Oreochromis niloticus: one gene and its partner. The protein of the gene in region 1 interacts with the protein of each later gene in a pairwise test. Links are inferred from orthologs where the notes say so. Each region holds a gene or a part of one and is shown on either strand. Other genes may lie near its edges.

Region 1 (7,955 bases):
CCAGCAAGCTTATTTATTTATAACCATGAAGGGTTTGGAAATGTAAGGTTGGATACTTTTATGTGAGTCTATCAACACGATTCAATAAATTTTAACAGTGTTTAAGTTTAACTCGGATGCTTTACAGTGGCAGATTGCTACTGTGACGATTGGGTCACAAGGAATCAAGTTTTTAAAAACACCATTTATATTAGATTAACTGAGTAGATTCCTCCAGCTGTAGCATCCTCCCATCCAGTTTTAATCTGGGGTCAACTTGCCAACACCAGCCTTGAGTTCTGACACCTTGACATGCTCTCTCTGTCACATACTGGCAGACGTTCCTTCTCAAGAGCGTGTTATACAGACAACGGGTAGGGTAGGGTTACCCCCCCCCCCCCCCCCCCCCCCCCCGCCACACACACACGGTCCTGTGTAATGCCTGGGTGACCTCATAAATGAGCAAGGCTGCTTCTTAGGACATAACACCATTGTATTAAAAAGTTGATTAAAATCGAGGAAAGACTGTAATTAGTCATATTAATAAGCATAGCTGTCAAACAGACGTACCTTTACACTGTCTGACTTCATTTCGGTTTCTTCATACAGGCCTTTCATAAAACCAGTAGTCCTGATGACCTGAAAATGGTGGGAAAAAGGTTGTTTTAAACAGACATGAAACTACAACTATATGCCATTTTTAGCTTCTGTACATCGAGAAGTCCACTCCAAAGTCTGTTTGCATGTATGTGCAGGAATAGTGCTTTTCACCTGTGAGCTAAAAAAAACAATATTTGCTGAGAATTAACCTAAACATTAAAGTAACACAACAACAAAAAAAACATTTATAGATTTAACAGTTTATGTCCTACAGTCATATTCAGACATATTCCTAGTCAGAGGAGGGGAGTCGAACATGCCGACACTCTTCCCTTTATCAAATATGCATGAATCTGGAGTGAAATATAAGACTGCTGAACAGGTGAGAATGAGTTGGCACCTCTGTTGAGAAGAGCGTAACAGATTTTACTCTGCTTGACACCTTATGTAAAAGGAGTCAACTGTGCATATAAAATGCTGAAAAAGAAAATGAAAGAAGCCGCAACTGAGCAAAACAAGTTTGATCATAAAGATCAGCAGTGTATTTACAACAGGACACTGACAACAGACCGTGGAGATGATGCAGTGTTTCCTGTGTGTGTGTATGTGTGTGTTTAAAGAACCATGATACTATAGCAGCAGTTGTACTTACTCAGAATGGATCTTTGGAAGGGTGGCTACAGATAACATTAGAATACATTCATATATCGTCCTGTTATTTCTGACTCTTAATTAAACAGATGGCAGTTAACCTAAAAAAATTAAAAACTGAGAAAGTTTTTTTCCTTTGAGGTTTACTAAAGCCTCTTTTGTTTACACATTAGACATTAGTCTTTTCTTTTAAAATTCCAGCAATCTTAGATTTCATAATGCCAATGATGAGATTTATCTAACTAAGGGAGGGGCAAAACTGTTCTGAGGAGGAAAATCACCTTTACTGTACTTATATTGTTTCCTTTCATCCCATTATACTGCCTGTTACTTCTCTCATGCATGTACTTAAGTACTGGCCTTTATAAAATGGCTTAGAGAAACAGTATTCAATTCAATTCAAGTTTATTTGTGTACTCCAAATTCCCTCATGGCAAGGTTATAACCTACAGTGTTAAAGAACTCCAACAATCAAGTGACCACCTATGATCAAGCACTTTGTGATAGTAGGATGGAGTAACTCCCTTTTAACAGGAATCCTCCAACAGAAGCATGCTCAGGGAGGGGCAGAGGAAAGAGAACAGAAAAGAGCGCATAGGGAGTCAGGACAATAAAAGCGTTTCTATTTTCTGTGTCAGAAGTGCCAGGTGTAATCACAACCTAGACCCATTCTGAACCAGAAAACTTTCACGTAGTACAATTGCTTTTCTAATGCACATAAAATACTAGAGTACGTAGCTGACCCTGATCTGTATCTGCACTTCTCTTCATCTGAGAGTAAAAGCTGCTGTGGGTTACTGAAGAGTCTGAGCTGCCAAGAACTCAGACATTTTACTGTGTTTTACTCTAGGCCACGGAAGACAGATCTTCCTGGCAAACACCAGAAAGACATCGGCTATAACTTCATCATATATGCATGGCTTGCGAGTAGCTTTAAAAAAAATGAAGGGAAATCAAAGAAGAGGCACCAATTATAGCACAGCCTGTGCTTGTTTTTAGCTGTAATCATAAGCTGATCAGCATCTGTGTTCTCAACGTGACGGATTCAAGAACCTAGCACAGGTTCATCCTAGCTGGCAGGTGCCCTCCTTTAAGCCAACAGCGGGGAAAACGGTTTGTTGATTCGTGTGTGGGCTCAGGTCGTGCCTAGCAACAAGACGACGCTGCTGAAACAACTAGCTCACTTGCTAACCCACCACATTAAATAAAGCGCAACCTGTCATTTAAGTGAATTGCTAATGCACCCCTTGACTATCAGGATTAGTGTTACTGACAATCTGAAGTTGCAGAAATTGGAGCTTACAAAATGTTCCGTAATATTCGCGAACCTACTTGGTTAGCTTCCTGCTAACCTTTATGCATTAGCTGGCTAACTAGCTCCTGTGTCTGTGTTTTTAACTTAGAAGTGGCATTAGGCTTGGCTTCTGAGAAGAAGAGTGTCGTGCCCCTTAAATAAAATCCACTTTGCTTTCTCGAGTGTAATGTCAGCAGCTGAGTCTCACCTCACTGAAGATATCGTGCAGGTATCGAAAAGGAGGCTTGCTTAGCAGTTTCTCGGTGAGCGGCGGCTTCTTTATCACTTTGCCCAGCGTGTCCTGGGTCTTTTTCACCACTGCCGCATTCATGGTAGTAAATAAAAAGCCAAGATAAGTACTTTTAATCAAGAACAAATACACGAAACTAACTAAGAGTGAAAAACTTAGTGACTCTGTCGCCTGGTTGCTATGTCTATGTCCTGCAATCCCACAGTGCATCATTAAAAAGGACTGCGCCTGCGCCAAAGGCTTACTGTTGCTAAGCGCTCTCTTTGTGTCCATAGCAACAACTAACAATCGGCTAGATAAATGGCTAGGCTAAGTAGATAGAAAATTCTTTATTATAGCCGCCAAAACAGAACAGCGTGGTTATATAGAGCAACAACTAGATAAAAGCATTCAATATACATACAAAATAAAACAGGGCATTCATAAACTGTAAGTTTTGGAAGCGAGATTATAAAGATGACAGTACTGGGGATTGCAGAGGTGGAAAGAATTATTCCTTTACACTGGACCGAGCTCCGGTATCAGTATTTGCAACAACAGAAATCAATTCGTTTTAGAAAAAATACTCCGCTGCCTGTCCTATAAGTTGTGGAGACAATGGCCAGGATAAAAATAAAAATGGCCTAAAAAAGGGCCATATATCCCTGTCTTTATTCTGGCATGGAGTGGGAGTTTCCTCTATACCAACACGCGGAAGAGTCATAGAAAGAAAGCAGTTTTAGAAACAACTGTACTTTCAGGCTTACACTTTTTAAGAGAACGAAATTTTAAATTAAAATAAAAAGTTATTTTGATTTAGTTAAATTTATTTATTTATTCTCAATCCATAGACTCGAGTTTCATCTAACAGCCCATAAAGGATATATGTTTTTAAACTTACAGAAGGGATAATAGCCAAATTAATGCTAGCTTCCCTATCTGCTGGTGTAATCCCACTACACAGCACAATTGTGCGCATGTGCGTGCTTCTTCTGTTTTTTTAAGCCTATTATGATATACCTGTTTGACAAGTTCGATAGGAAAAAAAAATCTGACAAAAGAGAGCGCACATAGGAGGGTCAGAGCAGATGCTTGTTGCTTCATATTGACGAGGTAAGACATTTACCTGCTACCTGAATATCTTCATTGACTTTTAAAAGTATTATGATTTCTTTCAAATGGTTAGATGCCTGACTAAAAGTTTGAAAAAGGTTTGTAAATTAAGGAACTGGTGGGGGTTTAATTATAATTATTTCAAATTACACTTTTTCACATAAATTCAGACTTGATTTTTTCCCCCCCCTTACAAATACAAGTGTGGTAACTATGTGTAGAATTACCGCTTATAAACCATTTTACTTACATGGTCTCAGGTGGAACCATTAATGAATTCTTGCTTGCTTGCTCCTTTGGCTTCATTGTTACTCTGCATACCGCCTTGTGAATCCTAGTTAGGCGTGTTTGGTGAGTCAGTGCAGCTTTATATATCTGTCAAATGTGAGTCAAGCTAAAACTGATTTGTGTTTTGTATTTAAGTATAAATGTCACTGAATTTCAATGGAACTCATTTGCCAACTTTCACAGCAGCTCTCTGAAAGGACAAGGAACGATGCTTCGCTGGGTCTTGCTTGCTTTGCTCATTGGCCTCTGTGCCAGTGCTGGGGAACAGAAAGCTAAAAAGAAAGTGAAGAGTCAGTCCTTGTCAAGAGGTGGGCAAATCTCCTTTTTTCAATATGCACAGCTCCAGTTAATGTCTAAAGAACCATTGCATAAGATCATTTATAGCTGTCAGACATAATAAAGTCAGAACTTTGCTTGTTTGGGAACATAGTTAATATACTGGCAACATGCAGCAGTTTTGTTGACTTAAAACTGTATTTTTATTTCCTGCCTGCAGGATGGGGAGGTGGTATTAACTGGGCCCAAAATTATGAAGATGGCCTAGCAAAAATGGCCAAAAGGTAGGACTCTAAACCTTGGGTAAAAGTGCTGGATGTCAGTTTATTTTGTTTGGATAAGTCTGTTCCTTTGTTGTGTCTTTCTGCGTTGGAATGATGCTCCATTACTTTTCCATAAGGGAAACACATTATTGCTTTAATCTTCATCTGTCTCTAAATCCAGCACGGGGACTTTGCTTTCTAAGGCATTTGGTTGTGTAAGACTGCCTTCACACCCTTCACTGTGTTTATTGTGTTTTGGAATGTACTGAGTTCTTTCTCTGTGGTTTTGCTCTCACAGTCAGAAACCTCTCATGGTCATTCATCATAAAGACAACTGCCCACACAGTAAAGGTACTGCTGCTACTTTGGTTTATTAAGTATACATATATATTAAAAAATATAGGCTTGCACCTCCTGCGCTGTCTTTCTCACCCAGACTTGGGCTTGTTTGTTTTCACGGGGAACACAATGGGTGCATTCTGTAATACCCACAAAGCAGGCAGTGAAGTATGTGAGAGTTATGTTCATAAATCACTCAGCTGGTTTTGTGAAATAAGCTCAGTGGAAGTCTCCACTGGCATTTCTTAACCCATAAACAATGACGACCACCTACAGAGTGAAGTCTGGCTCTAAATTTTGAGTTTTGCTAGGGTGGACCAAAAGCAGCCCGTTCTGCATCCTCCCTCTGAAAGTCTCAGAATACTGAAGCATTTCGTTTGATTGCAGCAAGTTGCATATATTTTTTTATTAGTAATGTGTCCTCATTTTAACAAGACAGGATTCATATATTTATAGTGTGTTGTGTATTCCCTTACGTGAATGCTCAACACAGATATTCTAAAGGTCCAACCTGCCAGACTTGTTTCTGACCTGTTAGGCAAGTTTATAAATGCAGTCTGTAATAACTCAACAGGCTTTACCTCCTTCTGACATTTTCTAGGCAGAATACATTTATTAATATTTCCAGATCATATAATTCATAATTCATTCATAATTATTTGAGAGCCAGTCTAAATATAATACTAAACCAAAGTATTTCAACAGACCTGAAGAAGGCATTTGTTGCGGATAAGACTATCCAGAAAATGGCAAAAGAGGATTTCATCATGCTCAACGTGGTGGTAATTAAAGATATGTTATATATGCAGAATATATATATATATAATTATTTTATTATTAAAATCATGTGCATCATGTGTACTATATTGTTATACACAGGAAGAGACTTCGGACAAGAATCTGGCACCTGACGGTTACTATGTTCCCAGAATCCTCTTTGTTGGTAAATTCTTACATTATTAATATAATTTCAATATAGAAGAACAGATTGTTTACTTTCCTTGTCTGAGGTTGAACAGAGATACATGCATAGCACAGAATAAAACCATTTAAACCAGGCTTTAAATACAAACAGCACCCCTTCATGCTGGAGTCTCTGTAATGCACGGTGAGCCAGTGAAAGGCCACTAACACTAACACTGGAGTACTTCTCCTTCTTGTCCCTTCAGTTATCTGGCTGCAGCATTTCAAAGTAATTGTAAATGAGCACGAGATGACTGACTAACTGCAGTCTACAGTGCATTACAGATGTCCAGTCTAGATGTAACAAAAGCATGCATAACCCTGCCAGATCTAATGGTTTGGATAGTCCCAAGGTTCTTTTTGCTTTCTCACTCATTGTTTTAGATAATGAATTTTACAGAACCACATTCAGTTTACAAAATGCACATCAGCTGTCACATAATACTGATTACTTTTCTGAGCTGTTCATGTGTGTGGTTTTTCTACAGATCCAACCATGACTGTGCGCACAGACATTACAGGAAAGTACAGCAACCACCTCTACACCTACACAGCGAGTGACATCCAGGACCGTGAGTGACTGTTCACTCTCTCTAATGACAGTTTGCACAGCTCACCTGTCAGCAGACTGCAGACACACTAATCCCCCACAGCTTGAATCCCTGTATCCCTTCCTCAATATTTTGACAGAAATGACTAAGTTTTTTTATGAGATTGTTCTGACAGAAAGAATTTTGAGCTCCGTGTGGATGTTAGTGAGAAACTTTAGCAGACTTGTAGCACTAGTAGCCAAACAGGTGGGAGTTTTGCAAATGCAGTGCAAAGACGAAGAGTTAATTTTTTAGGAGGAAAAGAGAAGGCAAGTGAGGTATGTGACACTGTTTCTTCCTGATATATAATCATTAAATCATGGCTTTGGAAACTAAAAGCACAATTAACACACTTGAAGCACCAGCATTCATTATGTGTTTGCTGATTACTGTTGTGTCACTGTAAATCATTCAGGGAGTTATTCTAGGTCCAAACCTTGTGGTTGTTGGTCCCAGAGACATTTGTCTTTAATATATTTAAAATCTAAACACAATAAGAGTCATCCATCAGAGTTGGCTAGAGTGTATCCCATCTGGCTACATCCTGGACAGGTTGCAGGGCTAACACAGAGACACAGACAACCTTTCACACTCACATTCATACCTATGGGTAATTTAGAATCACCAGTTAACCTAACCCTTTGGACTGTACCTAGTGAGAACATGTAAGCTGCACACAGAAAGGCCCCAGCCAGGCGATGGAGTGAGTGTGAGGCAACAGTGGCAACGATGCCACCGTGCCCTGCCAATAACCTTAAAAAACTTCAAACAAGATATATTTAAAAAGCACAAAGTAAATCTCCCATCTCTTAAACAAACCCCATAAGAAAAAAAAATATTTAAAACAAGAAGTTGAAGCCATTAAATGTGTAGTAATGGAAAAGTAGCACCTGCAGCTTAGGTTTAGGTTTCATTTCTGAACTACTTCACTCATGTAAGAGCGCTGCAGGCCTTGCTCTTATTTGTCCCTTCTTTGTCCACAGTGGCCGACAACATGAAGAAAGCCAAAGTCCTGCTGCACAGCGAACTCTAACGTGGTGCCTGACGTCTCAGCATCTTCCACACATGACTGCTCAGTGGCCAGAACTGAATTATTTAAATGTTTTTGGTGCTCATTAAAACCAAAATAAAGGAAAAGAAAGCCATCTTCAGTTTTTCTCACTTTAATGCAACACTTAATATATAATTAAACTACTCATTAAAAACACAGTGATAATGCTTATTTAGAACTGTTTATGATGGTATTGTTCCATAAGAAGATGATTAGGCAGTGTTGAGCTGTGTTGTTGTTGTGACTTTTAATTTGAAAGTGAATATTACATCAGAGCAAAAGAACTCAGTGAGAATCACTAGAAAACATAGTGTTGATT
Region 2 (7,312 bases), on another chromosome or scaffold:
GACTAAAGAAAGAGGGTGGAGACTGGGACATGCATTCACATAGAGAGGAGGAGACAGAACTCTATGTGTGGCAAGCAGCACTGGAGTGTGCATGCTCAATTCAATTTGAGATTACATGGCCCTGGGAGACCTACTTGTTGCTTTATGTGATGACTCACAAGCGTGATGCATAACAATATCATGTGTGCATGTGCATAAAACCTTGTTCTGATCACATGTTCCTTGACTACACTGCCACATTGTAGGTTCTGCTTTATAAGCAGCCTGAAATGCATCCATCACTGTACAACCTCAGTGTCCGACTCTTGAAAGCAGCCTTTTATCAAGTTAACCACACTTAAATGTTTTCCTACCTTAAATTGTTAGCTTTCTTTCCTTACTTGCTTAAAACCGCACCCATTCTCCATCCATCACCCTATTCACTGCCTCCGCTTGCCACAAAAAACAACAACAAAAAAAAAAAAACAGAAAAAGAAAAAAAAAAAAAAAAAAAAAAAGAACAAAAAAAAAAAAGCCCACATCACATCTCAAAGACAGCAGGATGAGCTGTGTTTAGCCCAAGGCCACTTCCGCCCTACTGAGACTGACTAACAAGCTGGCTGAAGCTCACTCTAGTCAAATTAGATGTAATTGGACTGCTGAAAGCTGCTACGGTGTTCTCAACAATGTCATCATGAAGCCAGGGTCAGGGCGCACTGCTGTCTCCAACAATGGGTCAATTTGCTGTCCACGTTGGTGATGGTGTCAAATTTGTGCAACGCTTTTAATGCCAGAGAGAAATCAGAGCTTACCGATGCCACAAACATAGTAAAGGAAAAAGACAGCACTGCATTACCATAGCAACACCATTCATGTGAGACACACGCGCAACATCCTCCACCTCACCCAATCTCATGGGTGCACTGCACCACCTGATGGCCTGTAACTAACATGACAGCATACGCAAGGTGCATGGCTATTTTAGGCATTCAGATCATGACTGCAGGCAGATTTCCTTTCAGATGCTGTATTGTTTGAAGAGCATTATACATTAAAAGGTGACAGCGATTACCCCACGGCGCAGAAAAATAAGAAAGCTGTGACTGATCACTCAACAGAAACAAAACAAAACAAAAAGAAAAGACAAATCAAAGAAGAAACAGCCACAAGCCCAAAAGTCATTGATTTGCTCCTTCATCCACCACTTTCTATACTTACATTCTGACTCCGAGGCATGGTGGAAGATTTCTATAAGGAATATAAATGTTGTAGTTGAGTAATTTTTTGTTATTATTATTATTATTATTATTATTATTATTATTATTTTCCCCAAAATGAGTTCCATCACAAATTATAGATGGATTACATCATATACCACATCCAGTGTAAATGGCTATCCTAAAAAGGTGACTTAGTTTTATACATTGTTTCTAGACCACATGGCTTGTTGTCAATGTGGGACAAGCCATTTTTGGCTACTAGCCCATTAATAATATGGCTTCCCATTAAGGTGAAATCAGCTGCTTGCTATTTCTACTTGTAAACACCAGAGTAGCCATTTTCAAAACTGATGAGGGCTGGAAAAAAAAATTGCTACTTTGGGGCTTGCTATAACTAAATGAAGCATGCATACTGCTCTCTCAGAAAATCCTGGAGAAGAATGTCAGACCATCAGTTTGCGGTCTGAAGGTCTGACTCACTAGTTCTCACCAGCACAATGACCTGAAACACACCAGCAAGTTCACTTCTGAATGGCTCAAACAAAACAAAAAAAGGTTTTAGAGGGACCTAGTCAAAGTCCAGGCTTATGCCCCATTAAGATGCTTTGGCATGGGATTAAACAGGCTGTTCATGCTGCAAAACATCTGAATTCACACACTTCCACAACGAAAAGTGGCACAATATTTCTCCATAGTGAGGTGAAGCACTCATTTCCAGTTATCACAGATTGCAGTTCTTTCTGCCAAGGTTGGAGCAACCAGTTATTAAATGAAATCATTTAAAAACTGCATTTTTGTACTTTGTATTCACTGGGTGGTGGCGGGGGTCTTTGGCTAACATTAAAATGAGTTTGATCTGACATGTATGACAAGTAAACAAAAAGAATGAAAAAAAAATTGCCTCCTTCCTGATTTCTGAGCACTATGTCACTTAGATACAAGTAAATAGTACTTGTTTAGAGAGCTTAGTGCGGGATAGGCTCACAAAGATTTGCCACAATTTTGAAACACAGATGACTGACTTGGTGAATAGTTTACTTTGGAATTGAGGCTCTGTTAAAACTACTGCACAAGTAAACCCTTTCAGTGAGTAAACATATGATGTTGATCCACGTTGTTTAGAGCTGTAATGGCCTGTGAATAATGTGCAACCTGCATTCTCAATAGCAAAATAAATCAAGCATGTCCCAAAAATCTCCCACCGAATGCATCTTCACTGCACACGAGTTAAAGGCAAACTTAACACATATGTCTAAATAAAAATGAAAGTTATTTGCTATGGTCAATGGAACAATCACGTATGTGTTTACTGCTGAACTACCAAGTAACTTATGTGAAAACTGCCTTTATTTACCAGCTGATTAACCTGCTTCATAAATGATGTTACTCTTCGCTTCTCATATGCTACGCCCAACCGCGGGAAATACATGGTGAGAGCCTGCAATTTAACACCCAAAGGTAATTCAAGCCACAACAAATGTGCAGTCATTTTGGTGGTGGGTGTAGTTAGCAATGGATAAACGCAGAGCTATGACAAAAGAGTTTGCTAAGTGCTAGCATTCAATATTAGCATGCGTTACATGTTAGCAACAAACCTTAGCTCTCCCAGCTTCTACCTTCCTCCGACGTTCATCTTCATCCATGACTTGATCGAAATAAACGCGTTAAAGATTTAGGACATACGTCCTAATTTAACTTAAAATAACGCTAAACCTTCCTTCAAAGTATAAGTTAACCCTTAAACAAATCTTTACATGCAACTGTCAACAGACAATATTCAGTATGGCCGCCAAGTCAACGTAGCTCCGCCCTTATCGAGTTTCCCTTGCCTAACTGCCCAATCAATTAGTTACTTTCCTCACCTTCGGCCAATGAAATTCGTGTTGTTTAAAAATAAGTTAAAAGCACCGCCTACTTTATATATCAGTCAAAACTAGCACTCAACTAACCAATCAGATTTCTGCTTCAAGCCGCCTAGACTGGATTGACGTCTCTTGTAGCCAACCACAATTAGCTCATACAAATCATACTCCTGTCACAGCTGGATGAGGAGTTTGTCATTTAGGGGGCGTTCACAGTGAAGTACGCAGGTTAAAAATATTAATACCGTTCACATTATATTTATTTAAAACACAAAGCAACGATCTACAGTTTATATTAATTAAAGATTAGTGCCTAATGTACTCAAACAGTGCGTTTCCGTTTATTAGGAATCAATGATTGTGCCACGTTAGAAAGGTTTTGACTATACCCAAATGAGGTGAGCATCAGCAGCAGCCAGCACTAAAGCACTAAATCCATCCAACAGAGCCCAGTAATAATTCAGAACCCAGCTTTAGGCTTTTGTATGTGACAAATCAAAAGAATAGGACACATTTAATGTTTGAAGGTTTTCTTCACTGTCCCACCCTTTGTTTTTTTTGGCAGCAGAGGAACCAGACCAAGCAGGTAATGCAAGTCATAGTTAAGTCCAGTAGTAATAAACAGGTGTGTCCCATGGCAGCTACTCTGTGGCTTTAGTTTGTCTGAAAAAAGTCCGAGTTACTCCAAATGCCAAGACATGAAGTAAAGTTTAGCTAAGTCAAGTCAAACTTTATTTCTATAGTACATTCAGAACAACCTCAGCTGACGAGAGCACTGTACAAGTCAAACAAAATAGGCTTAAAATATAAACTCTACATAAAAGTCACAAAATCAAGCTGTAAGCCTGTGTGGTTAAAACTTCATAAAAAAAGTTATTGGAACAACTTGAATTTGGATTTGGATGGAAGTATTTCTCCATGCATTCTGATGAAAGTAGGACTTGCCTCTTGTATTTCAACCTTTTATTTTTATTCCATATCCGAACATCCAAGTCTGACAGAGAACCCATAGCTTTTAATGATCAGAAACATGGCACGAGTCGCATTTCATCAGTGCTCCTCACCATCCACCCACAGTACCCACCGATCTCCATCATCCAGCCACTGGTCTGTCCTTCCTGCCCTCTCTACCACTACCTGCCCCAACTCAGCCTCCTCATGTACTCCAGCAGACTATGAGATACAGATCTCATAACACCCCAGTGCCCCTCTGTTTCTATTTGGTCTGTTAAGTGTATTTAATATTCTTCTCCTCCTCCTGCTACCTGACCCAACCTGACCTACACTGCGTACAAGATTGCACGGATTAGATTTAAAATGTTCTGGTAAAATCCCCAAGTAAAATGATCTTTTGACCTCCCTGCATTAGCCCAAATCCCATATCCCATATACACCAAAATAAAATGAAAATGTGCAGTTTGATTTAATCTAGTATTATACATGGTTATTTGAGTTTTAAAACATGGAAACAGTATATATTTTTAAAATAAATTATTTATCCATGTGCTTCTTACAGTATTTGTTTTTTGCATCAATATCCTTTGCGAGATTTCTTAATTTGTACAATTATTGGTTATATATGAGAAAAAGGACAAACCACACGATACTTTTTCACTTTGTGCAACTATCGCAGCACCCTGTGCCACGACAACTGCAGATTCCTTGGATTCTTCTCCTTCAGCCCTGCCCTGCAAAACAGTCACCACAGAGGGTGCATAACAGCCGTGCTTATGTCATGTATAGCTACAGTATATGTTTGGTACTGTTTGACATGGTGGAGCTGATGTTGACACAAAAAGCCCAGATTGATCAGACCATGATGCATGACATCATGCTCCAAGCCATACCTCCCATGTCCCTGTCACCACCTGGTGGGCTCAGTCACTGGGCTTTTCACAATACACTTCTCAAGCATGTAAACAGACACAAACACCTCGACACATAGAGACAAAGTGAAAAAATGGCTACACTGTTTACCAAATTACTATTTTTTGTCTCATCAAAGTCATAAATCATTACTTCCAGGCAAGTTACCATGGATATCATGTTTGTAAGACCTGATCTCAAAACAAAGAGTGTTGCTGTGCATCAACATCAGCATCACTGCAGTCTTGCCCCTAGATCACCACAACTGCCTCCAATCAGCCACCTGATAGATGCTCATCAGCCACCAGGGGTGACGTTTTTCCCTGCTCCACATGTAGACACACCAACCTTCATCTTCCTTTGATAGACCCATCAATCCTCTCTGTGGTCTTCCTCTTTTCTCATCTCAGCCTTGCCTCTCTCTCTAACTTTGTCTTCAAGCTGCTCAACCTGAGCTGTCCCTCTGATATACTCATTTCTGATCTTGTCCATTGTGGTTACTCCCGCTTAAAATCTTAACATCTTCAACTCTCCCACCAGCTTGTCCTGTCTTTTTGTCAGTGCCACCATCTCCATCACAGCAGGTCCTCAGTTCATGTCCTGCGCCATCTTCACGTACTTCTCTGCCACTCTTGACTTCCTCATGCAGTGCCATAGTTCCTCTCTTGGCACCCTATCATATCTTGTATTCTTTAGATCCACAAAGACCTAGTGCAGTCCCTTCTGACCTTCTCTGCACTTTCTCCATCATTACTCTCAAACAAACGTCACATCTGCAGTGCTCCTTCCAAAGCCTGAGTGTTGCTTGCCTGTTCGTCATCTTTCTTCTTAACCTAGCTTTAACAACTCATACACGTAAATTTGTGGTAAGGCTCATCAATGAAAAAGTACTTCTTCCAAGTTTTCAACACATTCTCTTCACTCATTCATACCAATTTTATCTTTATAATTAATCACCCTAACCTGCTGCACATCCCTTCCAGCCAATTAATACAAGTTATTTTCTCCTTTCTTAGTCTCCATGCTCATATAAAACTTCCAACACACCTTTTTTTTTCCTTTGCCACCTCTCTCTTTGTTTTATACCTAGCCTCCCTGTACATCCGGCTACTTTCCCTTCTCCCTGACCATTCCATTTTTTCTTTGTTCTTCCTACTCAGTTGTATATAGTATTTGTATTTCTATTTTATTCTATTGTATATATTATTCTATTCTATTTTATTCTATTGTATATAGTATTTTATTTTATTTTATTGTATTTTATTGCATTCCAGTGTTTTCTAATTTCTGCTACATAACTTTGCACTTTTGCTGTAACACAACAAATTTCCCACCTGTGGGACTAATAAAGGTCATCTTATCTTATCTTATCTTTGCATACTTCCTCATTCCACATAGTCTCCTTGTCTTATTTCCTCTGTTCACCATTGGATCTAAATGACTGATCTTAAGTAGACTTCTTTGAGAGAATAGATTTGCTTCACTTAGGAAAACTATCTTAAACAAAACTAATAAACGGAGAAAAAACTGAGGCAACTTAGAAAAAACTGCTCAAAGCAGCTTGTAAGAACTATATGACTGAAGGTTTAAAACATACAGCTTTAAAATGGGTATGTGTGCTGCAGCATTGAATATCGTTCATGTGTTCATTTTTGTCGAAGAGCAGAAATTAAACTGTTCGTCATTCTTCGTTCGAAGGGAAAAAGATTGACGCCCGAACAGGGACTTGAACCCTGGACCCTCAGATTAAAAGTCTGATGCTCTACCGACTGAGCTATCCGGGCTCTGACGACAAAGCGCACAGGACACGATAAGAATGACAACCAGACTGAACGCCGCCAATTTATTTCACAAGTCTCAGAAACTTTTCTTTCAGCTTCCGTAATGTCAAGGCGAAACGGCCGTTATGTTAGCAGCGAACTACGCTAGCAAGCTAAACTTAAGCTAGCGCTGCAGACAGCCTTTTGTAACTTCATGTAGCCTAGAGCGACGTTAAAATACGGCATGCAAAAGGTTAGTCACCGTCAACCTACGCATCATAACAGATTATAAACGGGATCATGTTTGTAGTTTGTTTTTCACTACACACACAAACTCATTGCATCGTTTTTAATAGACGAATTTTCAGCTGTACAAATTGGTATTTTACAAGATTTATAATATAAACAAACAAAAACGCTAAACACCTTCAAATTATCATTAATCACTGCAGTCTCCATCGACAGTACTTCATCATCATCTTGGCACATCCCTTTGAAAAATAAAAATAATTTAACAATATGTGTACGAAAATATACAGATGCAAAACAATCCAAGTTAAGTGACACTCTGCATTAGCAACTTATTAAAGTGCATCATTCCCAGTGTAAAGACCTGGCTTATTGA

Evidence for each region. The genes of interacting proteins can lie anywhere in the genome.
Region 2: the proteins of traf3ip1 (region 1) and pcnt interact in a two-hybrid assay, tested with the Homo sapiens proteins (2 studies listed by BioGRID and IntAct). The link is inferred for Oreochromis niloticus from reciprocal best matches to the Homo sapiens genes TRAF3IP1 and PCNT.

What each region holds. Positions count from the first base shown.
Region 1 is NC_031987.2:3,857,423-3,865,377, reverse strand, and holds the start of traf3ip1 (TRAF3-interacting protein 1), read right to left. Parts: upstream 3,015-7,955; 5' UTR 2,988-3,014; coding exon 2,733-2,987; intron 619-2,732; coding exon 550-618; intron 1-549. Other genes in the region: agr1 (anterior gradient 1), read left to right, coding at 4,363-4,462, 4,651-4,714, 4,992-5,044, 5,738-5,814, 5,912-5,975, 6,484-6,567, 7,569-7,618.
Region 2 is NC_031983.2:17,163,296-17,170,607, reverse strand, and holds the start of pcnt (pericentrin), read right to left. Parts: upstream 3,003-7,312; 5' UTR 2,843-3,002; coding exon 2,795-2,842; intron 1-2,794. UniProt on the Homo sapiens protein: Integral component of the filamentous matrix of the centrosome involved in the initial establishment of organized microtubule arrays in both mitosis and meiosis. Plays a role, together with DISC1, in the microtubule network formation.